Schizosaccharomyces pombe: one gene and its partners. The protein of the gene in region 1 binds, or shares a complex with, the protein of each later gene. Each region holds a gene or a part of one and is shown in the gene's direction. Other genes may lie near its edges. The genes, in order: mdb1, rad4 and hta2.

The links.
Region 2: the proteins of mdb1 (region 1) and rad4 are in contact, whole or in part, in a crystal structure (PDB 6HM4), measured with the Schizosaccharomyces pombe proteins. Residues at the interface, in NP_593964.2 of Schizosaccharomyces pombe: Gly106 (codon at 2,141), Val107 (codon at 2,144), Met108 (codon at 2,147), Thr109 (codon at 2,150), Val110 (codon at 2,209), Pro111 (codon at 2,212), Asn112 (codon at 2,215), Thr113 (codon at 2,218); in NP_593190.1 of Schizosaccharomyces pombe: Leu109 (codon at 5,063), Thr110 (codon at 5,066), Asn111 (codon at 5,069), Arg117 (codon at 5,087), Pro133 (codon at 5,135), Asp134 (codon at 5,138), Leu135 (codon at 5,141), Thr136 (codon at 5,144), Arg137 (codon at 5,147), Arg150 (codon at 5,186), Lys151 (codon at 5,189), Tyr154 (codon at 5,198), Trp158 (codon at 5,210).
Region 3: the proteins of mdb1 (region 1) and hta2 are in contact, whole or in part, in a crystal structure (PDB 7P0L), measured with the Schizosaccharomyces pombe proteins. Residues at the interface, in NP_593964.2 of Schizosaccharomyces pombe: Thr391 (codon at 3,052), Ser392 (codon at 3,055), Ser393 (codon at 3,058), Arg430 (codon at 3,169), Arg431 (codon at 3,172), Thr432 (codon at 3,175), His433 (codon at 3,178), Lys434 (codon at 3,181), Leu436 (codon at 3,187), Met505 (codon at 3,394), Asp508 (codon at 3,403), Ser509 (codon at 3,406), Leu513 (codon at 3,418), Ala565 (codon at 3,626); in NP_594421.1 of Schizosaccharomyces pombe: Ser128 (codon at 2,331), Gln129 (codon at 2,334), Glu130 (codon at 2,337), Leu131 (codon at 2,340).

The regions. Positions count from the first base shown.
Region 1 is NC_003424.3:2,880,782-2,886,991, reverse strand, and holds mdb1 (BRCT domain protein Mdb1), read left to right. Parts: upstream 1-1,650; 5' UTR 1,651-1,771; coding exon 1,772-2,005; exon of another isoform or gene 2,006-2,059; coding exon 2,060-2,152; exon of another isoform or gene 2,153-2,208; coding exon 2,209-3,450; intron 3,451-3,502; coding exon 3,503-3,808; 3' UTR 3,809-4,199; downstream 4,200-6,210. Other genes in the region: SPOM_SPACUNK4.13C (NTPase Ylf2), read right to left, coding at 271-1,268, 1,360-1,400, 1,466-1,650; SPOM_SPACUNK4.15 (2',3'-cyclic-nucleotide 3'-phosphodiesterase), read left to right, coding at 5,261-5,887. UniProt on the Schizosaccharomyces pombe protein: Involved in DNA damage response (DDR) mediated through its interaction with phosphorylated H2A proteins hta1 and hta2 which mark the discrete foci of DNA damage.
Region 2 is NC_003424.3:1,054,873-1,067,476, reverse strand, and holds rad4 (BRCT domain protein Rad4), read left to right. Parts: upstream 1-4,564; 5' UTR 4,565-4,615; coding exon 4,616-4,681; intron 4,682-4,738; coding exon 4,739-4,846; intron 4,847-4,912; coding exon 4,913-6,685; 3' UTR 6,686-6,731; coding exon of another isoform or gene 6,732-6,768; 3' UTR 6,769-6,806; coding exon of another isoform or gene 6,807-7,334; 3' UTR 7,335-7,372; coding exon of another isoform or gene 7,373-7,639; 3' UTR 7,640-7,699; downstream 7,700-12,604. Other genes in the region: transcription coactivator Rqt4, read left to right, coding at 1-446; DSIF transcription elongation factor complex subunit Spt5, read right to left, coding at 638-3,610; trm402 (tRNA (cytosine-5-)-methyltransferase), read right to left, coding at 6,732-6,768, 6,807-7,334, 7,373-7,639, 7,700-8,854, 8,963-9,012, 9,062-9,082; autophagy-associated lipase Atg15, read left to right, coding at 10,062-11,336; DNA-directed RNA polymerase subunit Rpb5, read right to left, coding at 11,835-12,309, 12,521-12,603. UniProt on the Schizosaccharomyces pombe protein: Essential component for DNA replication and also the checkpoint control system which couples S and M phases. May directly or indirectly interact with chromatin proteins to form the complex required for the initiation and/or progression of DNA synthesis.
Region 3 is NC_003424.3:4,048,429-4,055,196, reverse strand, and holds hta2 (histone H2A beta), read left to right. Parts: upstream 1-1,878; 5' UTR 1,879-1,949; coding exon 1,950-2,345; 3' UTR 2,346-2,751; downstream 2,752-6,768. Other genes in the region: RNA-binding protein Rsd1, read left to right, coding at 1-115, 212-349, 397-570, 643-963, 1,013-1,087, 1,129-1,387; mce1 (citrate transporter), read right to left, coding at 3,194-4,069; dal1 (ureidoglycolate hydrolase), read right to left, coding at 5,003-5,578; chitin deacetylase Cda1, read right to left, coding at 6,094-6,768. UniProt on the Schizosaccharomyces pombe protein: Core component of nucleosome which plays a central role in DNA double strand break (DSB) repair. Nucleosomes wrap and compact DNA into chromatin, limiting DNA accessibility to the cellular machineries which require DNA as a template.

The DNA.
Region 1 (6,210 bases):
CTGCTATTACACCCAAAAAAAGGGTAATATGTAAGAAATATGGCAATAGGTTGAATTATGTGTTTACATACACACAGTACGTAGGCATTACTGTTTAGAGGCCAATTTAACAAAATACACCGATGCACTAAATAATTTAATGTAATTAAAGCTATCCTACAAGTATAAAGTTTTGTAAACAAATAACTAATAAACACTTGAAAAGAAACATTATGAAAACGGTATTAATGAAATCTTACTATAATTAATTTAATTTAATTTAGATTATCACTAACGAGCAATTTTCCAGAAAATAATATCCCCGGGTTCGACAGTATAATCTTTCCCTTTCGTTTTGCACTTTCCTACGCTTTTACAAGCATCTACTGATTTGTACTTTTCGAAATCAGAAAACTTTATAACTTCTCCTGCAACGAACTTCTTCTTGAAATCTGAATGTATTATACCGGCCGCGTCAGGCGCCTTAGAGCCGTCGGCAATAGTCCAAGCTTGAACGATTTTTTCACTAGCTGTGAAATAATGTATCAAATTAAGTGCAGAATATCCCGCACAAATAATTTCTGATAATTGAGAATTTTTGCCCAAACTAGCGCATTCCTGCGCCGCCTCTTCAGGCGTAAGCATGAATAGCTGTTCTTCAAACAGAACTGAGAGAGGTATCACTTGATCACCAAAACTATTTTTCTCAACCCATTCTTTGATTCCTTTTAATGCTTCTTGTTCATCGGAAAGATAATCGTCTTGATCCATATTTACCAGATACACCACCGGTTTGGCAGTGAGTAAGTTTAAAGAATTTAAAATGGGAATCTGCTCGTCATTCCATTCAGCTTTAGATATTTGACGGCCTTTTCCTAATACTACTTCTAATGCTCTTCGTGCCGTATCAAGAGCTTTTGCACATGTTTTGGGCGAGCGGCCCTCCTTTTTTAAATATGATTCTAAAAACTCTGCGTCTTTTAACAATAGCTCTTCCTGTATTATTTGTAGATCTCTTACTGGATCAACTGACTTTTCAACATGAGGAACTTGAGCCTCTGGAAATGCACGTACCAATTGAAACAAAGCATCGACGGATCTAATGTTTGAAAGAAACGCATTTCCAAGACCTTCTCCCTTGCTTGAATTCCTTGTCAACCCTGCAGTATCATAAATAGTTAATTGCGCTGGGATACGCGTTTTAGGCTGATAAATTTCACAAAGCAATTCATACTGTGAATCAAGTACAGGGGCTTTTGCATGAACGGGATCGATTGTAGCGAAAGGGTCTTATAAATTTGTTTTGTTAGACAACAGAAATACAAAATATTATATCACTTATAATCAAAACTAATACTTGACTAAAATATGACAACGTACAGTTAGCAGGATTTCCCAGGTTTGTCTTTGTAAGAATTTGACTATATTTATTGTTAATACCGATCAATGAAGCAAATTTATCAGTTAAACCCTTGAACAAACGTACAATAAGGTGGATTTCCCAATGTTGGGCATTCCTACAATGCCAATTTTCAAATGATTTCCAGGTCGTCCCAATCGTTGCCGAACAATAGAAATATCCTTTTGTTTTGAATAGTATCTCCTAGTACAATTTACAGAAGGTAGACACTTTTGCGTTGACAACACTATCCTTGTAACTATACCACGCATTTCTTAACCATTCGATGAATTAATCACAGAGTTGTTGCTAAGCTTTTTCACGCAGTAACCAAAACATTAATTGTTAATTCCTCCTTGAAATTTTTATACGATCAATAGCAGGATTTGTAAAATGGAGATACAGTTTGGAAATCAGAGGTGTAGGATGGTAAATTCTGGGGGTTTTCTAGCTACTGATGGTTCCCATCTGAAGGAAATGGAAACAGATGATGTTCTTGTTGAATTCTTAAATATAGAACATCAACTTTTTATTCGAAATATTCGAGCTATAGTTAAAATAGCCGATACAACGGTGCTTCCATCTGCTAGCGACAAAAAGCTTCTTTATTATGTTTTTGACGAAACGGTATTATCTTTTTTCTATTGATTAATTGAGTAAGCTAATTATATACTTTTTTAGAGAGTAAGAATCAACGATACTCCTGTAATTTTTTCAAAATTAGAGGAGGATAATGCAAACGTGAATGAAGGATCCAAAATGGGAGTTATGACTGTATGTGCATTCCCTCATTATACTATTGTCAAAAAGACACTAACCTATTTTCCAAGGTCCCTAATACCCCGCAGAAGCCAAATTTGCAGCAACAAAAATTTGAAGCGATCAATGCGAATGAAGATCAAATTGATTATTCAAGTAACTTGGAACAAAATTACAATTCTTTAATTAGGCAAGGATCTGACCAGGTCATTCCCCTTTCGCGATTCGCTTCAGAAAAAAGTGCTTTAGAATTGGAAAAGGAACTCTTTTCTGAGAGAATTCCAGAATCGCAATCTGCCGCTGAGCCTGTTCTTAAAGTTGAAAACTCTGAGAATGATTTGGACGAAAAATTGGTATTGGACGGTCAACATGTGGAAGGCGACCATAGTTCTGACACTGAAGAGGAGGTTGTTTCTGAAGATCAAAAACAGTTGAATAAGACCGACGATGAGTCAACATTTATTGAATCACACCAAATTTATATACAAGGAGAAACAAAATCTCCTTCTTCTGTCTCGCAATCATTGAGTGGAGACCCATCCTTGAAGCCAGCAGAGGTATTTGATAGAAAGCAAAGTGCTGAAATAAACTCACCAATTGAGAAGGATGTGAATCCACAGCAAAACATATCGGACAGCTCTATAAAGAACAATAGCATTCACAGTGATGAAGTAAATCCAGAGGTTAGGCCAGATTTAACCCCCTCCAACGAAAATGAAGAAAGTAAAAGAAGTGCGCCGGAAATCGCTCTCAAAGAGAAGGAATCCACATCCCAGGATGAAAGTAACAGAGAAGCAGAAGAGGCACCAATTTCCACTAATTATTCTTTCCCCTCATCATCTTTAGAGGATCAACCTGACAAGAATGTGCAGTCCTCGGCAGTTGAAAATAAAAACAAGCACACAAATCTGGTAACGTCGAGTTTCAACCTAACTAAACCGATGAAAAGTTTTATAAGGAGAAATGGTCTAAGGGTGCAAGAAAGTGTCACAGACGAAACCGACTTTGTCATCCTTGGTTCACCTCCACTTCGGAGGACACATAAGTTTTTACTGGCGACTTCTCTAGGTATACCACTTGTCTCTTCTCAATACTTGACAGACTGTATAAAATCAGGTAAAGTTTTAGATTTTCGTAGCTACAAATATAAAGACGAGGAAGCAGAAGCCAAGTGGGGATTTCGTTTGGACGATATCCACAGAAGAACGTGTTTCAATGGGAAAAGACTATACATTACAAAGGCAATTCGAGATTCGATGGTAGGGGATTCTATACACGGACTTTACTCAATTTTGGAAACATCTGGAGCTGAGGTAAGTGAAAGATGGAGAATATCTAGTTATGATAGGCTAATGATTTAAATAGATTGTTGGTGATATTAAAAGGGCTCAAGAGAAGGACACAATTATACTTGCTCAACCTGACAACGATCAAGAAGGACGGAATATGAGTGCTACTGGTTTAAATGTGTACAAGATTGAACTAGTAGCTTTATCCATCTTGCGTGATCGAATTGATTTTGATGAATTTTTGATTGACTATGATGCTGACAGTCCCACCAAAGTAATTGGAAAAAGAAATGTCTCAAAGGCATCCCGAACCGGGCAAGGAAGAAAACGATCCTCTCGTTCATCTTGGAACAAACCAAGTGCAAAGGAGCAAAGAACATAAAATTAAAGGTAAAGAGGACATCGTTTACTTTGTCTATTATTTATTTATAGAAGTATATTTGCAAACATATATTCTTGAGTTTCTTCTATGAAGGAGGACCATTAGAAATTATACAAAAATAGAATTTTAATAATGATATTAAATAAACGAGCGTATTTAAGGGCGAAGGATAAAAAACCTACACGGTTATTTAATGAAATATGCGATCTGTTAGTTGATTGTTAAAATCTTGAACCAATAAATTCAAGATACTCAACATAAATGAATCGATTTCAATACGCTTTTTTTTCTATTTTCCAGATAATGTATGAAAAAAAATAGTTTGACCAATTCCCGAAATTTATAATTATTACATCTCAATTAAAAAAACAAATAAAGAAATAAATAAAATGATATGAAATGAAGTACAAAAGGTTAATAAAAATAAATAACAAATTTCTACACGATTAAAAGATATAAAAGGTAAAAATCTTTATGAGTAGAAAAACGCATATACTTATTTGCGGTTTTAAGAGGAAGTAAAAGGAGGTAATTCCGAAACATAAAAATAAAGGGGCCTCATTATAGTGCTTCTTTTTAGTCTTGCAATTTTATTTTATTTTTTGAAAAGGTTTAGTTGTTTGTTTATTGACTACAAAACACAGCAAATCCACTCGTCATATCAGATCAAGCATACCGCATATCTAACAAATGATTCTGCAATGCATTGCACTTCACTGTATAAAATTTATTCATAAAATGCGCAATATGTATATCAGGCACTTATAGGTTTACCCAAATATGCTGTTAAATGGAATACACAGTTTTTTGCGCCATCTTACCATTTATAAAGCGTGAATTTAGAGACCCGCACATGCTTCCGCACACGGCCAAATGAGCGCTAAACCTCGGACGAGAAAGTGACCTGTGTGCTGTTTCTATTTATCGCATCGCTACGATGACATCATAGTGTGGTGAAAGCACCAGCTGTTATAAGCAGACCAACGAACCAACTCACTGTTCAACAATATTAATCAAGTTCTATTTCTTATACAAGCAATTTGGAAAATAAATCAAGTGTTAAATACATTCTTTGCTTGAGTGTATTTTATATTTTTTAGTGTTCTGTCCTTGCAATCGAAAAAAGCGCATTGACAGGTTTCGAAGCGAACAAGGAAATATCGGTTTTACTCTTGAAACAGAAATTTAACTGTATGTGAAAATTTTTTTTGGAGTTTCATTTACTAATAAAGAAGAATAGTGTGGTATTAAAAAAAATACGCAAAATATTGACTACATATTTGTTGAAATAAATTGGCGAAGGATTTATACGTATTTTATATTTATTTTTCCTCTTTTCAACACCATTATAGCGTTGCATACAATTTTCACTGCTGACAACCTTTTAAATTTTTTTTACTCTTTATTTTTTCCAGCCCCTTGTAATTAGGAAATCTAGCTTTCTCCTTCATCATGCCCCAATTTTTCAGGACCCAGCCTTTGACCGATAGGACTACAAGTCATGGTTTTGCTGAAGTTTCTTCCGAAGACCATTGTTATTGTGTTTGGCTCGTACCTGCCATTTCCTCTGATATTGAGTTGAGATATCGAACGTTTGTCGACTGGGCTGTGTGTCACAAAGTCGACTTTGAAGAAATGCAGTTACCTACCGCTCCTCACATTACTTTAGCTCGTGGTATCAAGCTGAAACCAAATCAATCGTTTAAGAGTGTTTTGCAATATATCGCTTCCAAGCGCAAGTCTCCTTTGAACATAAAGTTCGGCAAAGTCGCTATTGGGGATTCCTTCTACAAACGTGTATATATTCAGGTAGAGAAAACTCCCGGCTTGGAAGAATTGCAAAATGCTGCTTATGACTTGGCCGATACTTCTGATCCTTTTAATGTCATCGAACATCCCTATATGCCTGTCATTTATGCAAAGAGTATTTGCTCTGACTACTCTACTTCCGACCCCATTGAGACGATTTCTTCAATCGGTCAAGCCAGTTGGGGAAAGGCCTGTTTTCTTGAACTCATTCAATTAAACAAGGCCAACCATCAAGGATACGTCTGTGATCGTATTGAATTTACCGTCTAATCATTTGCTTTCCAATCTTTTTTTTTTTTTTCTTATTGATACTTTGCAAATATACCTAAACAAAAAGAGATATAGCAGGATGATACCTAGTTATTTCGCTTTAGTATTTTAATGAAGATTTAAAAAGCCTTTTTGTAACTTTATTTATTTTTATCCCTTAATGGTTTTATTAAGGTGAAAACAATCTCGCTTAAATGGATTATTCAAACCCTTAATTTTTTTTGCTTCATGTATTAACAATTTCTACCTTTATAGTATCTTTTTCACTAACTTAAATGCATCTGGTGATCACCTTTCCTGCTTTACTTTTAAACTTTGACTAA
Region 2 (12,604 bases), 1.8 Mb from region 1:
TTGATAGAACCTCTGCTCAACGAACTCGTATTATCGACGAAGCTGCTGATTTTGATCCTACTTCGCTAGCTTCTGATACTTGGGCATCTCCAGCTGAGAAAGCTTTAAATCTTGTTAGAATGCAAAAGGCCATGGCTAAAAAGGAAAAGAAAAAAAAGAAGGTATTGTCGATTAGTCTTTCAGGAAAAAAAGTTGTAGTCGATCAAAAGGAAGCATCTTCTGAAAGTTCTGATGAAGATCAGGATGAACTTGACAATTTAACTAAAGTTGAGGGCCAATCTCATAGTCATAACCCGAAGGCTCCTGTTATTAGAAATTTGCCTAGGCCTATTTACCATCAAGACCTACACTCTAGTCATGTCGCCGTGCCTGAATCTATTCTTAATAAAATAAATCAGAAGTGGTCTAAAGTTCAGGATGATGATGGCATGCCATCGATGTTATAAGTATGTTTATGTTAAAGTTACAAATATTTAATGTATGCTTTTATGAGATTCAGTTTTTTTAAATATACATATATGCATTTTGGTAAAGTGCGTATCATTTTAATATTATTAACAAGATTACGTTAATTAGAATATGTCTTAACAATTTTAACAAAACTATCTGTCGATATTTTCAAAAATTTGATTTTAAATTAAGGAGAAGGAGGTACATATTTGGGTGAATCTCCTTCTTCATCATCCCAACCACCTGGTGTGGGAGCAGCCCACGCACCAGGTGTAGGAGCAGTATAGGGCTTTGAATTATCTTCGGTATCCCAGTTAGTTTCACTGAATCCCCCGTATGCAGGGGTTTGTCCCCATGAGGTGTTAGTGCCATTAGCAACCATAGGTGTCTGATTAGCATTCCAAGCTGGAGTCTTAGTACCATTGTTCCAGGACGGAGTTTTATTACCAGCATTCCATGCAGGCGTTTTAGCACCACTATTCCAAGCAGGGGTTTTGTTGCCAACATTCCATGCAGGAGTTTTATTTCCGGAATTCCAAGCAGGTGTTCTACTGCCAGCATTCCAAGCAGGAGTTTTATTCCCAGAGTTCCACGCTGGGGTGCGACTTCCAGAATTCCACGCAGGTGTCTTTGAACCAGAATTCCACGCAGGTGTGCGACTTCCAGTATTCCAAGCTGGAGTGCGTGAACCATTTGCAACAGCAGGCGTACGGGCTCCTTGGGCCCAGTTTGGTACATTTGGTCCATCAGCGGTGCTGATACTACCAGGTCTTATTCCTCTAGAACGCTCAATAAATTCGGTATAGCTAATCAATTCACCAGTCTTAGTAGTATATAGCAGGTTTTCTTTAGGAATTGTAACCATTTTGTTTCCCGTATGTAACTCAACACGTGCATTTGCATCAGTAGTATCCTTAATAACGCCAAGTAATCCTTTCATAGGACCTCTGCGGATGCGTACAGTAGCGCCAATAGCTTTGTCACGTCCAATCGTTCTTTTCAAGTTAGCAACCGGAGGCAAAGCCGGCCCATTGGATAAAGCTGGATTCATTTTCGTCAAATCTGCTGAAATACGGGCACCCTTTGCCGCAATTGTTGCTACGTTACGACTGCGAGCGGAAAATACACCATTATTCTCTGCGATATCTCTGTTATGCAAGAAAACAAAAGCTCTGTATATGTGCAAGATCGTTCCCTGCTTTCCCTCTCCTCCAACCTCTTTTACTTTGTCGCCAATCCGAATTTCAGCCCCATTTCTATCTGTAGCCACACCTCGGCGATTGGAATGGCGCATGGTAATTTGAGAAGCAAGAACCGTTCTAACCCCTCCATTCTGATCAATAACTTTGTACGTATCACGATCGACAGAAAAAATGCAGGCAACCGTGTTAACATCCAGCTGCACTAAATCATGTAATTCATATGCAGAGTTAACAGCTTGTGCAGAACTAGCTTCGCCTAAATCACGAGAAAATACAGTCAACTCAGTCATAAGAGTATCACTCAAAAAAGTAACTTCGTCCTTTGAAATGCGGACAACCATACCGGTGTCATCCTTGTACTTTCCTGCTATAACTTTTACATAATCACCATGTCTAAACCTTTTCCTCAGGCCCCGAGATGGTACATCTAACCGTAAACCATCAGAGGATACCATGGTAATAACGCTACCTCGAACATTTTCAACAACACCACTTACTCCAGTCTGCTCACCAACATATACCTCGACATGATCTCCAGGCTGAAATTCAGCATGGCCCCCTTTGACGCTGAGAGCCAAAGAGCTGAGATCCAAATCCTCATTATTAGGATTGAATTTGGATACCTCGTCAAGTGTAGGATTAACTCCTTCAGTTATCAGTGAGGAAATACGAATGTCCTTTACCAAAAATCCATCTTCGAACTCTTCATTGTTGAAGAGGAAAAGTCTAGGACCACGTTTAGAAAACTTAGAAGGATTGCTTTTAAATGCTTCGCTTTCATTAAAGAGTCTTGCTTGAGGACGAGTGGCAGAATTCTTTCGTTTCAACCCATCGGAATAATCAATACGAGGAACTATACGTACACGTGCGGTTAAACCATTTTCTGAAAGGTTGTCAACCTGAGCGAGATCACCGGCGTACTTTCCACGGCGTATACGCACATATGCACCAGGCAACAGTTCAACAACCTGTTTTTGAACTTTGAGTAAATCCGGCATTTCCTTAATTGGAACTAAAATCATGTTATTTGTATAAACATTTAAAACCCCATTAAGTGCATCTAGAACATGTGATTGCTTTCGAGCTTCAACGTATATATAACCGACCAGCGAGTCACGTTGAAATGCTGAAATGATTTCTAATGGAGAGCTAGTATATTGCAAATCCATAGCTTTCCGCATTATGGTAAAAACAATATCCTTTTCTTTGCCAATTTTACAGCGAACAGCCCAAATATTGGGATCATTCACTGAAGGAAGTAGAAGACGTTGGGGAACATTGCTTGTATCTCCAACAACAGTTTGGCTACGACCATACTTTTCACGATACTCCTCAGCAAGGCGTTCAGCATCAACAGATTGTAGTTCCTGTCTTTGACGGTCAAGTTCACGATGGCGACGATCATCACCGACGTAATCCGCTCCAACTTCTTCTTCAATGAAACCATCTTCACGACCAATTTCATCTTCCTCATCTTCAAGCTCTTCCTCGTCCTCATCTACTTCTGCTTCAATATCAAGGAATTGGTTGCGGCGGTCATGGCGAGCCCTTTTTCTTCTACCGCCACCTGATTCATCTTCATCTTCCTCGTCTTCCTCATCATCTTCTTCATCCTCTTCTTCCTCTTCGTTTGCATCAGCTTCTTCCTCGTTTTCTTCAACATTATCCTCATCTTCTTTTTTGTCATTGTTATTTACATTATCGACTTCGTTTTCATTCCCATCTTCGCCTTTATTAATTGTGGTATCATTTGGACTTTCGTTATGGGAATCCACGGGAGAACTCTGTTTTTCATTTGTAGTAATTTTAGCAGCTTCAGAATCATCATTCAGCAAGTCACTTCCATTGGGGGATGCACGGGTAGAATTGATTTTAACTGAAGCAGCATCTTGCTCAGCTGCATCTACCTCAGTCGAATTTGCATCTTTATCAATAGATTTCGGAGAATTCGTATCCATTGTGACTTAAAAAAGAGGAAATAGTACCTATTCCCTCAATGCTTTGTTTTTAGACCTTTAATCTAATATAGGCGATAGGTTCGCCGATTAATGAACTTTTTATTCAACAAGTGGTGTTTTGTTAAAGGTGACTTACAGTACGTACTGCTGCCCTATTTTACCAAGCAAGTAGGTCTTGTATGGCTTGCAGCGACAAGAGTATAGATATACGAAAGAAGCAATTTAGAATGGAATACTTACGGTTTTTTTGTAAAATCAAACTTTTGCTTTAAAAGTATTTGCTTTAATGGTAAGCTTGAGCAATTGCCACTGCTGGTAAACAAACTTGTATACACGAAATGCCATACACAATCTTAAAGTTAGACTTGGTTTAATTGAAATTAAAGATAATGGGATGCTCAGATTATCAATAAATTCATCTTACATTTAAATTGTAATATTATGTTATATTCCATATAACTATGAACCCTTTAGGGCAATATCCCTTTGCGTTACTAAAATCCAATATAAATATTAAACTGGATAAGAGGATATTTTTTACCGAGAGAATATAGGACAAAGGTGGTGTCCATATACTATCTTCTTACTCAATAAATCTTATAATTATGATACAGGTTAAATGAGGAATAATATAATAGCCAGCTCTTGGTGCTTGTTCATAATTTCCCCCAAACCAATGATGCTACTCAGCTATACAGCATCGTGTACATTGCCAATACAGTCGAGTTTTTCGAATAAATGCTTAAAATTTAATTTTGGCCTTTTATGACTCTCCATTTGTCAATCTTCGCACCCACCACGGTAGCATATAACAACTTGGTTTTAGCTTCAATCTACTCTTAACCTTCGAAAGTCGATTTTCTCTAAACATTCTTTATTTTCCCTTTTAAACATTACCAATTTTTGCATTTCCTCACAATAATATGTAGTGGTGATGGACGCGTTTGTACTCGTAAATTACCTATACCTACTCACCTAGAACTCATAAATGTCGGTAGTGAAAGAATGGGTTCTTCTAAACCACTCAAAGGCTTCGTGATATGTTGTACCAGTATCGATTTAAAGCAAAGGGTAAGATTTTTGCACGACGAATCGCATTTTTTGTTATTTGTGTTACTAACTTGACAGACCGAGATATCTACAAAAGCAACTAAACTTGGTGCTGCCTATAGATCAGACTTTACTAAGGATGTCACGCATCTTATAGCCGGCGATTTTGATACTCCAAAATACAAGGTATGTCGTAAAATCTTACAAATTACACTATCCTTCAAGAGTAAATGCTGACATTCTTTTCAATAGTTTGCCGCAAAATCCAGACCAGACATAAAGATTATGTCTAGTGAATGGATACCTGTTCTTTATGAAAGCTGGGTACAGGGAGAAGATCTGGATGATGGCCTGCTCGTCGATAAACACTTTCTACCAACTCTATTTAAATGCCGGGTTTGTCTTACCAACATTGGCCAACCAGAGAGATCTCGTATTGAAAATTATGTGCTTAAGCATGGTGGTACATTTTGCCCTGACTTAACTAGAGACGTAACTCATTTAATAGCTGGCACCTCATCGGGTCGCAAATATGAATATGCATTAAAGTGGAAAATCAACGTAGTTTGCGTTGAATGGTTATGGCAAAGTATACAAAGGAATGCTGTCCTTGAGCCGCAGTATTTCCAATTGGATATGCCAGCCGAAAAAATTGGACTTGGCGCGTATGTTCGTCTAGATCCCAATACTACGGAGGCAAAGTCTTATTCTGAAAACCAAAAAATAAGCAAGAATAAAGAAAAGTCTGGTCAATCCTTGGCTGCATTGGCGGAGGAAGCGGATTTAGAACCCGTGATTATGAAACGGGGAAAGAAGAGAGATAGAAGTATTTTATGGGAAGAACTTAATAATGGAAAATTTGAATTTTCCAGCCGTTCTGAAGAAAATTCAGTACTACTGGATGATTTCACTCCCGAAACTGTTCAACCCTTAGAAGAAAACGAATTAGATACGGAACTCAACATCGAAAACGAAGCTAAACTTTTTAAAAATTTGACTTTTTATCTTTACGAGTTTCCAAACACTAAGGTCTCCAGGCTTCATAAATGTTTGAGCGATAATGGAGGCCAGATTTCTGAATTTTTGTCTTCTACCATTGATTTTGTCGTTATACCTCATTATTTCCCTGTCGATGAATTGCCCATCTTCTCATTTCCTACAGTTAATGAGTGGTGGATAGAAAGGTGTCTTTATTACAAAAAAATCTTTGGAATCGATGAACATGCCTTAGCAAAACCTTTTTTTCGTCCATCTCTGGTTCCTTATTTTAATGGTCTTAGCATTCATCTTACTGGATTTAAGGGGGAAGAACTTTCGCATTTGAAGAAGGCTCTCACCATCTTGGGAGCAGTTGTGCATGAATTTCTTGGGGTCCAACGAAGTATTTTGTTGGTAAACACAAATGAACCTTTCAGTATGAAAACTAGATTTAAAATACAACATGCTACAGAATGGAACGTTAGAGTCGTCGGAGTAGCTTGGTTATGGAACATCATTCAAAGCGGAAAATTCATTGATCAAGTTTCTCCATGGGCTATCGATAAGAAAGAAAATCAAGAAATAAAAAAATTTACAAACCAAAATAATATGGTATTTCCAACGTCTGATAGAGATACACGATTACAAAATTCTCTTGCTCAGCAGCCAATAGGACATTCTACGCCTCATAATTCTCCTTCCTTATTATCGGTTAAAAAGCGCCAAAACAACCATATTAGGTCTAATACATTGATTCAACTAAATTCTAATTCAAAAGATTCAACCATATTTCCTCGGAGATCCGTGACAGTACCGGGCGACAAGATTGATACTGTTTGGAAGTCATCAGTTACAAAACCAGAAACTCCGACATCTCCACAAGAGCATGTTTCATATATAGATCCAGACGCTCAACGTGAGAAACATAAGCTTTATGCTCAGTTGACTTCTAATGTAGATGCTATCCCGCCTGCTAATGATCTCCAAAATCAAGAAAATGGGCTTCTATTAATTACCGAGAGTCATCGAAAACTCCGTAGGCGTTGAAACATTGTTTATTTATATGTATAGTTTATGTCAAGTTTAATTATTTTTACACGTCCATTCCAAATAATTCCAACGAAAGATTTCTTAAAGTTAGTAACAAAAAACATTAAACGTGACTTACTGCTTCTCTTTTCTAGCAAGCATTAAATTACAGCTCGTAGGGCTTCGCCAGATAGGCTGTAATATTAACATATCCATGAGTGCACCATCTTTTGTTTGAGCATCCACTCTAAGGATGTTACATCCTAGAGGCATTTTTTCAAATTCCTTTTTTAACATTCCGCTCTCAGAAAACTGCTCAACATGTGGGTACTCGTTTTTAACCAAAATTTTTAAATCTTTTAACCCAGCATCGTAAAAATGCTTCTCGTTTAAGAAAGGGCTAATGATATTGACACCGTTACTATGAATACGAAAATTGCAAATATCTTTGTTAGCTTTTAGCGAGAAATCTTTCAACAGTTGACTGATTTCCTGCTTTACAAAGAATCTAACACCGCCGTGCACGAATTTCACACGATTCGTGTTGGCTTCAATAATTTCTTTGAACAAAGAACATGCAAAATAAATTGATCTAACGGGAATACCGCTTTGATTTCTAACAAAAAATTGATCACGGGGAAAACTAGGATCGATACCATAAAAATCACTATGGGTTAGTTTGCCTGCCATGGTAATATAACTTACACAATAGTTTTGATGCTAGTATCATCAGGATTAATGTATACGAAGGGCTCTTCATCAAAATAACTGTTGCCAGATTTAGTTAATGTAGAATTAGAAGCTTCGTCAACACCCTTTTCCGTCCTTTGTCTCTTGTTCTCGGGTGGTAGAATTTCCATACTAGCAGTATACTTTTTGGGATCAAACGAACGGGAATTAATAGGATCAGTTTTTTGGAGTACGGCCACAAAAAAACCACCAGTATTCTGCATATGGGGATATAGTCTGGCACTATTAAGAGATTAGAAAATGATAAAGTTTCAAAGTTCTCATCCAGGCAAATAAACCTACCATCTTTCTATGTGGAGTTTGCTCATTTCCTCCTCAGGAAGAGGCCACATGGATTCGGTTAACTCGATCTTATCATTGGTGTTCTCAGCAGGTGATTGAAATTCGTTAAGAGAATCATCCAAAACCTTCCAAGATAAAAGACCGGGATCACGCTTAAGTAGGGGTAGTTTTTTAGACACATCAACAAGAGAAACTGCACCACCAGTAGCCTTCAATGCAGCTGTTACAACAGCTTCATTTTCTATGGGATTAATGGAGCATGTTGAGTAAACCAAACAACCACCCACTTTTAAAAGTTGCAATCCTCTGATCAAAATTCTCAATTGCAAAGGGTGAAGGCTAAAGGCGCTATTGGCACTCCATTCCCTCCAAAGAGACAAATTTTTGCGGAAAGTGCCATCTCCTGAACAAGGCACGTCGGCTAAAATACGGTCAAACTTTAAAATTTTTTTTTCTTCAATTACATTTAAGCCGTCAGAAGGAGATGAACCTTTGACATAGATATTGGGCATTGTCGATGCATCGTGATTAACAACCAAAATATTCGGGGAATTTAAACGATTGATTTGGTGAACAAGCATTTGGGCTCGTTTGGGATCAGCGTCATTAGCAATTACAAGACCTTCAACACTCTTGAGATTTTTGCTGTCATGAGCAGCATCCTTGATATTGGCTTTTTTATAAACAGCTTCAATAAGCTGCGCAGTCTTAGATCCCGGAGCAGCACACATATCCAGAATTACATGATGTGGCTCAACGTCTAAGAATAGAGGAGGAAGCATGCTAACCGCTTCTTGACGATTAATGTTTCCAGCTTCATTTTCACTTACAAGAAACCGCTGAAGTCGTTTAAGAGGCGGGCTCTTTCGAATAACATCTTTTTGCGCATCGACAATATATGCAAGACCATCTGGGTACCAAGGCAGCACTGTTGGAGGTGGAATAGTTTGACCCTCATGGACGACATTTTTAAGGCTTGGTACGTAGTATTTTTCAAAATGGTTTTTTAGTTCAAAAGCATGGTGACGATATCCACAAATACGAAATGTAGTTGGTAAGGGCTTTCTCATATATTCCATAAAGCTATCAAACTCATCATTTGGCTTTCCTCGAAATAAATTTTGCTTTTTATAGTAACCTTCGAATTGTTTATTTCTGCATGTTAGCTGACTATTTCCTACAATAATGATCTTTTCAATGTATTTCTTAAAAATATCCCAATAAAGCTTTAAACCCCGTAAAAAAGCACCTTTGTACACTTACTCTAAGACAATTTCACTTTTGTCATTGTAAGCCCTTTTGCCCTGAGTCACCTATCTTTGTTAAAAAAAAAAAAGAAGGCCGATTAACAAAGTATCATACCTTTTTATTTCTTTTCCCCATTACAAACAATAATTTACTCACAAACCAGAGTTCAGTGTTTACTAGACATAAAAATTCAACTTCAATAGTGTTAAGCAAACTTTGCAATGCAATGTGTCTTTATTTTTTATTTACGAGACCTAGCACTTCTTTGAAAAAATGTTTATCGCTAAAATAACGATAAAGATCATGCTAACTAAGGTTCTGACGCTGAACAAAACTGCTGATTTGCATTTGTATTTGGAAGGTCTTGGTGACTTTAAAAACAGAAAATTCAGATTGGACATCTAAATTCTTCCAACTGACTTTAAAAATGTTTACGTTGATATCGTTATCAGTATGCGTATGTAGGAGAATATATCCATATATGACTTTATTCTTTTAGGGAAACAACAAGAGCTGCGCATACTGCTAATATAGTTAAATTTCAAGCGTTCATTATTGCCATTAAATAGGTTACCGCTAAGCATGGGAATAAAAAGCACCTAATGTGCTACTATAAAGCGAAGGATGATTAATTCATACCTTGTCCTCCATAGCAAAACATGTTACATTTGCAAAGTCTTTTCTGAGAAGGAACATTGCCGTATTTAGGAACAATATAAATAAATCTTACAATCATAGCATTATTATAGTCTAAGGCTCCGGTATCGTTATGAAGAACATGTCACAAAACCTGTATGCCATACATTCATCCTAAATTCACAAATTACAGTGTCCATTACCTAGATATTATATCAAATAGCGACATTATCAGCATACAACACCACGCTATGATGCGTAACTTACTGCAGTGTAATGTATTAATTATTGCTTACCAAAGGCGTTAAGTAACTTAAAACATCTATTTATGAGCAACATAAACGAGTTAAGCATGTACATGAGCTGATAAAGCATAATCATTGAATTATCCCATTGTATTTATTAGAATTGAGGATTAGATTCGCATAACGTTTTTCGGTTGCTCTTTTAAACAAAAGGAAAGCAAACTATTCATGCAATGTCTCAATTGCTATTCTTGAGGCGCTTTTTCTTCCTTTTTTGTTTCATCATTAGGATTAGTTGTACAGGAGTATTTGAAAGTGTTATCAAATCTTCGGAAAATGTGCCTGATAAGGTTAATGTCAAATTACAGCATGTATTTCATTACGGACTCAATGAGGACAGTATATCATATTATCGACTAGATGTGGCCAAGAAAAGTGTTTACGCAGAGAGTGAATCAAAATTGCCGTTGAAAATGAAGAAAGGATATTCCGTTCACTTGAAGGATCAGTCTCGCGATGCGTTGACTGATTATAGATATAAGTCTATGAAAGGAATTTATTCTGAAGCGAATTCACCAGCTGATTTATGGGAACAGGAAGCAATCGTGATTCCTGATATTACTGATAAAGAAACGATTTACTCCCTTGGAAAGATGAGCTACAATGCTTACCAAAAAATTCCTTTCGACGGGGACTGGTTAGATTTAGGACCTGATTGGAATATAACTCCACCTGAAGGATTTGGTTGGGAGGAAGATGGTCTACGTGGACATGTTTTTTCCAATGATGACAATTCCACTATAATTATTGCGATGAAAGGTACGTCCATCTTCGGAATCGGACGCGGTACCTCGCAGAAGGATCGCGTTAATGACAATTTACTTTTTTCCTGTTGTTGCGCTCGTGTCAGCTGGGCTTGGTCTACGGTTTGTGGTTGCTATAAAAATACATACACCTGTAGTCAAACTTGCCTTGAGGATGAAGTGCAAGATGACTCAAGGTATTATTCTGCATCATTGGATATTTTTTATAGTGTTAAAGAATTATACCCTGATGCACAGATTTGGCTGACTGGACACTCATTAGGTGGCGCTACTGCCGCTTTAATGGGACTTTCTTTTGGAATTCCAACAGTCACTTTTGAAGCACCTGGTGATCGAATGGCTGCCCGACGTCTTCATCTTCCAATGCCTCCAGGATTACCGGACGAAGAAAGTTTAGTATGGCATTTTGGTCACAATGCTGATCCAATATATTTGGGCAAATGCACAGGTCCAACTTCATTATGCTGGGCCGGAGGTTATGCGATGGAATCAACTTGTCATACAGGACAGGAATGTTTATATGATGTTGTAAAGGACAAAGGGTGGCATCTTTCTATTACCCACCATCGTATGCAAACTGTTTTGAATGATGTTATAGATGCATACGAAAAATTACCAGATTGCTCACACACACCGAATTGTGTTGATTGTTACTTGTGGGAGTTTCCTGATGATGATAGTTGAAAGGAGTGGCTGTCCTTTGCTTCAACTTCTGATAATGTCCTTAAAACTTTAACGAACGCCAAACTTTTCAACCTTCACACTTTATTAGATTCGAGTATGCCTATTTTCTAGTATACCTATAATAAAACTTATTTTTAGCTTGCTTAAAATAAGTACCAGCAAGAAGAAGATGCTTTAGTCTTCGGTTTAAACAGTCGTTTGTGCTATGATAACTTAATGAAATATTGATACAAAGCAGTACTGACTATAAACTATCTACTTTTGGTAATAAAAAGTAAACGTGAATGCCAACCCTTGATGTTTTATTGAATAAATCACTAATAAAGTATTGTTCTAAAAACTATCTAATCCAAAAATTTAAGCTCATTGTAATAGCTATAGACATTGCTTTATTCGATTTGAATTTTAAATTATTATGTTCAAATTGAAATTTTTTAAGAAAAAGAAAGAGATGGTAGTTTTGAAGCGATATTTCTAGCCCACATGTACCAATTAAAATTATGCACAAATTCTGTAGCTATTATAACGGCCACTAGTTTCACTTCTTCTGACAATCTTCACAACTTCTCCCCTTTTTAAACCAAGATAACGAGCAACAGGATCAGCTAGTTGAATACGGGGTAATTGAGTTTCACGTAACTTGTAGCGGTCTAAAAGTTCTTTTTTCTCATCCGGTGAAAGAAGAATATGTTTAGGAACAAGCTCATGATGAGTAATGTTGACAATCAAATCGCTTTCTTGGAAAGTCTCAATGGTAAACTGGCCGGTGACAGTAGCAATGATTTTAGCGGCACTTGGGGTCATGGAATTGGCATAAATTAGAATACCAGTTTTATGATTATGATCACCTAAAGTATGAACAAAAGTTCTCATTTCTTTAATACCAACGGAGGGCTCTTTTGCAAATTCGATATAGATTGTGCCTTTATTTGAATCATTGGAAGGTTTTGCGTAAAAACTCAAAGTTGTACGACTAAACGCATTAGCAAAACAGTTTTTAAAAAAAAATTGATAAAGGAAGTTTAGAAGAAGCATGTTCATCAATTAGAAAGCAGATTAAGAGTAAACCGATTTATAAATACCGGCGTCTATGGACATATACGCAGATATCAACAGAATTTGCTTCTATAATCAATCGGATTGTTTAATCCATTATCACGATGGATTTAAATAAATGTACATACTCTAAATTACGACCCATGCCACAATGCATGGCCTTGAATTGATCCAACGTCAAATCTAATTCAGCTTGAGAAACGCCGTAACCC
Region 3 (6,768 bases), 1.2 Mb from region 1:
TTTCTCAACTCGCAAATCGTTTGACTTCTAGGGAATTATATGATTTTTTCGAACAAGCTGGTCCTGTTCGCGATGCTCAAATTGTTCGAGACAAGATTAGCGGACGATCGAAAGGGTATGTCTTATAATTTTTTTTTTTTTTTTAAATAGATATTATTCTGTTTTTTTTTATTTTTCAAATTGGGTTCGTTTGCTAACGAATATAATATAGTGTTGCATATGTGGAGTTCTGTCACGAGGATTCTGTACAGGCGGCTATTGCGCTTTCTGGTAAGCGATTGTTGGGTCTTCCTGTCATTGTACAACTTACAGAGGCTGAAAAAAATAGAAAAGCTCGTGAAGCTGCTGAGTAAGTTTTTACTAAGCATCCATTATTTTTGTCTAACTTATTTGTAGATTGGCACGAGCCGCTAGCGCTGAAATTCCATTTCACAGATTGTGTGTCTCAAACATTCACTTCAACCTTACTGATGAAGATGTTAAGGCAATTTTCGAACCTTTTGGCGACATAGAATTTGTACACCTTCAGCGTGATGATCAAAACCGAAGCAAGGGTTTTGGTTATATACAGTATGTTTTCAAAAAATTAGATTGATATTTATATCTATTTAACTTCAACGACACTAACATTATATTTTTTAGATATCGAAATCCTATAAGTGCGAGAAATGCTTTGGAGAAAATGAATGGCTTTGATTTAGCCGGAAGAAATATGAGGGTTTGTTTGGGCAATGATAAATTTACTACAGAAACAACTAGTTCCATGCTGAAGCGCTTTGACGAAACGTTGGCTCGCCAAGAACGTAGTCAACCTTCTCAACGTAATGGCGGTTCATCAACCTACGAATCACAAGACTATCGAGAAGCAGCTCCTTTATCTCCTACTGAAGAAGAAAGCCGTCCCATTACAAGAGATGAGCTAATGAAAAAGTTAGCACGCTCTGAAGACATTTCAGACAACAGGTATGTCTTGTTTTAACTTGGATCCTTTTTGTCTTCTAACATAAAGCAGTAAACTGGTATCTGAACCAGAGCCTCCAATTCGTAGTAGATGTGCATTATTAGAAAACATGTTTAATCCTGCTGAGTACGTTTTTTTTATGATTCATAATTGACTAACCTTTAAAGGGAAACATCACCTAATTGGGTGCAAGAATTGGAGCAGGACGTCAAAGAAGAGTGTGATGAAAAGTACGGCAAAGTAGTTCACATTGCTGTTGTACCGAATGAATTGGGGCAGATATTTGTAAAATTTGAAAATGCCGATTTTGCTGAAAAGGCAATCACTGGACTCCATCAACGTTGGTTCGGAGGGCGTACAATAAAGGCATCCATTTTACCGGAAACGGATTACTACTTCAAATTCCCTAATGCCAAAACTGCTTAAACGTCGCTCTCTACTAAACTTTGCTCTGGAATTGATGTGTTTTACCTTTTCTCAGAAAGTTCTTTTAAAACAAAGCTTTTTGTACTTTTGCACGTCCTGTTATATTTAGTTTAAACTACGATGGTCGATATTTAGTAGCAGACTTTTCTTTTTCCGTAAAATTAAGAGTATACTTAGTTTAATAAAATCATAAATATGTACATATATTGATTGAATTTTAATTATGTCTAACTAAATACATTCGACGAATTTGCAGGATCATATATTATAAGGTAGTATACAATCGTTCTAATCATAGTTACTGTGTCTTTTATATATTCCCTAAATATACTTAACGAAATTCGTTGTGCGTTCCAAATGCTGAGTATAATATCACTGAAACGAGTCTGCTATCATTCAGTGATGAATGCCCATAAACATCCATCAAAACCCTAACCCTGTATATTGCTGTATATAAAAGAGCTTGTCGCTGCATCATCTTCTTCTTCTCTAAATATTGGGCAATTGAGCAATCCTGCATACATTATTCCAATTTAAAACTTAAGTAATTTCTTTATCAAGCATGTCTGGAGGTAAATCTGGTGGTAAGGCCGCAGTCGCCAAGTCTGCTCAATCTCGTTCCGCTAAGGCTGGTTTGGCCTTCCCTGTCGGTCGTGTTCATCGTTTGTTGCGTAAGGGTAATTATGCTCAACGTGTTGGTGCTGGTGCTCCCGTTTACTTGGCTGCCGTCTTGGAGTATTTAGCTGCCGAAATCCTCGAATTGGCCGGTAATGCTGCTCGTGATAACAAGAAGACTCGTATCATTCCCCGTCATCTTCAATTGGCTATTCGCAATGACGAAGAATTGAACAAACTACTTGGTCATGTTACTATTGCCCAGGGTGGTGTTGTACCTAATATCAACGCTCATCTCTTGCCCAAACAATCTGGTAAGGGCAAGCCTAGCCAAGAGCTTTAAACTCTTAAATGAATGATAAATTGTATATTAAGATTATTTGTCGTTTATACTTAACTATTATTATACCACACTAATTGCTTGAACTGTTGGTTTCGTGACTTAATTCGTTCACACCTTTTTTTACGCAATTTCTCTATCAGAAATTTAGTTTTATCATTATATCAGTGATACAGAAACAAGTGCATTATTCGGTTGAGAAACTTTTTCATATGACTCATAATTCTTACGTTTTTATTTGGTTACATACTCTGTTTCAAGCTTAGTTGTTTGTACAGTACATTATTCGAGTTTGAATGATTGTTAGGTTTCCTGATGGTTGATTGACGCTTTCTTTTCTCGTTTGATGAACTTTCCGTGTTTTCCTCTTCCCTTTATTATACATTTCCTTTTTCAGCTTCCTTTGTATAGGCATAATTTGTTTATTATAGGTTTATTTTAATGAAAGAACTATTGGTTCAATATTCGCTAAACTTTTTGAGGTGCTTGTAGCATGTAATTACACTGCGTATTGTCTAGGTGCCTAAACATCAACCCAGATATATGGATTTGAATGAGTTTGGTGATTTATTATTGGTATAATTTAATTATGGTAGTAGTAACAGGGGCATTTAGGAAGTTGCAATTCAAAACATGCAAAACATGAATACTTCCAAAGCACAAAACATTTCAAAACTCTAGGGGGTTATATTTTTAATAATCTAACTATCTATAAAGCACCAAAGAAAGAATAAAATAATAAAAAGAAGATAATGTGAAAAAAGAACAAAACCAGTGAAGTGATTGCTTTAATGAAGCAATAATTATATATAACCAAGGATAAATCCATATTCCACTGCTTACGAGGATATTTAAAAAGGCTTGAGAATTTCCATAACTTTTTCGTAAACAGTGAATACAATACCACCACTGAGAATCAAACGAGCCAAACGGGGAGTAGCACCAGACCAGAAACGCAACAGACCATCTTGAGTTAAAATCTTATAAGCGCAATGAATACTGTTTTTGTATTCCTTACTAGCACTCAAAGATTGCATACGACTCTTGACAGTATCGATGGGTTGCGTACAATAAACGGTAATAATACCAGCTACAGAACCGACTAAGAAAGTGGTAACGGTACTCAACTTCTCATCTGGTGGTAATCTGCTTTGAAGGGATTGCTTGATACTATTATAGGCAGTAAAACGTACACCAGAATTAGCAGCTTGACGAGCGACAGTTGCAGCGAGACCACGATAAAGCCCACGAATACCATTCTCATGGACAATAATTCTTGAGGCTTGTAAAAAGCCCTTTAAACGGGGATTTGGACGCTTGCGATCATCGATGATCGCCGTTTTGATACTCTCAAAAGGAGTTAGTACCAAAACTGACTCGGCGACACCAGCGCCCAACCCGGCGAGGACAGTACGAGGACCAGTCAAATGTCCGTGTTCATCTGAAAGAGACTTTTTAATGCTATCGAATGCAAAAAATCGTACTGCAGCTTTAAGGGAATTTCCGACGATTACTGTGGAACAACCACGATACCATTCTAGTCCAAAAGGTGGTAATTTCGCTTTAGTGCCTTCAACGTTACGATATAATTGAAGACGAGTTTTGGCAAATTCAGCCGGATAGGTAATGGAAATCTCAATAGCTCCAGCAACACCGCCAGCTATAATGCTTTTTACGGGTCCAGGTTTGTTGGAACTTTTTGGGTTGGTTTTTGCAACAGTCGACATTATCAATTAAAAGTGAAATATAAACAAAAAAGAGAACTTGAAACAAATTATTTTTGGGAGAGTTGTTATGAGTACAAAAAGTTATCTAACGAATGCTTTCAAAAAGATGGGTTCAAGATTAGCACAATACACTGACAACCTATTTGACTAAACCTTTTAATTATTTAATCAAAAGAGGGTACCTTTTCAAGCTTTGATTTGGCAGTAAAACCGACCAAGCAACCGAAAATCGAAGTATGTTGTGGGTAAATAGATGGTGAAAAATTTACGAAGTAATACTTCTTCTTCCTGTGCGACTATACCTTTATTACCACTTTGTTGTACTATCATATAATTTGAATTGTTTCAATATTCTTTAGTTTTCATTTGTAAAATATGTTGTTAGGCTTCAAACCTAACCGGAATGATAGATTGTAATGCTTATTACATGTTGAAGTAGTTTATCATCATCATGGTGATTAGGAGAGCGATTGAGATAAATTAATGTGAGACAAACTAATTTAAGTTTTAAAATAATTCCTTTCAATTCATTTTCAAGTTTTGCTATTTAGGCAAATCAATCATCTCAACCAGTTCATAAACGAATGTTAAGCTTCGTATAGTAAATATAAACAAATAAAACTTATTAAAACTTTGGATCAAAAAACTTATTGTAGAATCCTTCACTCAACTTCGATACAATTGCAGTGTATCAAAAGACTAGATGTTTTGTCTCTATTAGGGCGCTTTCCACATGGTATCTTCAGTCATATTTGTTATATATGCTTATGGTAAGATTTACTATATACGTAAACATATTTAGCCGTCCTCTGTTACATTCATGCAAATTGGATATCATAATAAATGAATCACTAGTGCCTATTCGACTTCTCTGTAATGGCATAGAACAAAATCATTGTCAACATTAACATAATAAATTAAAAACTAACAAACTTATGTAGAAATTTTTATGAATACTTCAATGGGGGACTCGGTAGACTGAACTTGGCAATCATCTTCTGCCACTCCGTTTTCGTAGTTAAAAGCCGCCAGCATAGTTTCTTTCCCGATTGTTACCATTGGTGCATGCCATACCCCAGCGGAATAAGTAACTCCCTGAGCTCCTTTAGCCACAAAAGCCTGAGTTTGGTTCCAGTCAGGCATTCCATCTGGAGCGTTTGGAGCAACAGCAATTAGATAGGCCTGCTCATCGCTTGAGCGACACATCGGTATAAAGGTTTGAGTTGTAAATGGATGTCTTTCAAGCACAGATATTTGAAAGGCTGCGTGCTCGTCATTAGCCGGGTGAACTGAAGGATGTGTGGAAAAAAAATTCCACACGCCTTTCCTGGTCGAAGCACTGGATGATTTTTCATAGTTTTGTATACTTTCTGAAACTTTTAAATACTTTTTTGCTGTACCTCCATTAGCACTAACCATTTTAACATCATCCTTTTGTTGAACCACCGACCCAAACGGAGCAAACGCTTCATCGGTCAAGGCTTGAGCATATATTTTTTTAGCTTCCATGTTTGTTATAAAATTTTTTAAAAGTTGAAACGTAAATTCTTGAACGATTACAATAACCACTTTTAACTAGTCGTTTTGCAAATGCACTGTAAAATCACTATTATCTTTTGAAGTTGTCGATGCTTAGTAAAGTGCTAAGAGTAAGAAAACAATATTTCAGTGGTATAGTTAGATGTTTATGTACAGCATTAATATCCAATGACTAAGGAAAGAATCTTATCGATGATAGTAGCAATGATGAAACCGAAATTACGGAGTGTATTGAAATATGTTTTGGTGACTTTTTCGTCTAATAGAAAAAATACGTTAACGGGTTTCAACATGATTTTCTCTTTAAGAAATAGACAATCAATATGTGTTAGGTTAAAGGGTTTCAAAATATCGTGTGTCAGACGATCAACTATTGTCGCATTTGAATTAAATTAACTATGGAAACGTTATATTTCAACCACTATACATTGCTAAGAATAAAACCGCTATACTATGTGTATATTAACATTTTAGTAACACGGTTTCTACGCTTTGTAAGGATGCTTAGCAGACCAAGCTTGTGCAATTTGCTCTCTGGTTGCAACCCAAACACCCTCCTTTGAGGTGATATGCTCCATTAGCTTTTGAAGGCCACGGAAACGTCCAGGTCGGCCAGTTAAACGGCAATGTAATCCGATTGTCATCATTTTAGGAGCACCTTCCAGCCCCTCTTCATATAAAACGTCAAAGGCATCCCGAGCATAAGTGTAAAAGTCATCAGAATTGCAAAAACCGGGAGCAACTGCATATTTCATGTCATTAACCTCCAAAGTATAGGGGACTATTAAGAGTCCTTTGTCATCTTCAGCACCAGGCTTGCTAGCAAGTGGATCGGCAACCCAATAAGGGTAATCGTCATTGTACTCATCAGAGTCAAAAGGTTGAGGAAGACCCAAATCCTTATAAACCTGACATACAAGTTTACGGGTGTTTAAGCTAGCACGACCCGTATACCAACTACGAGGAGCAGAATTCGAAGGAGAGGCCTTTTGGATAGCTTGCACACTCTTTTTAATATGCTCATATTCAGTTTCGGGAGGAACTCCTTCATAATTAATCCATCTATGAGAATGGGATCCAACTTCGCATCCTGCTTCCTCCATAGCACCAACAACTACTGGGTTTTTCTCAACAGCTTGACCAATAGCCCAGCAAGTAAA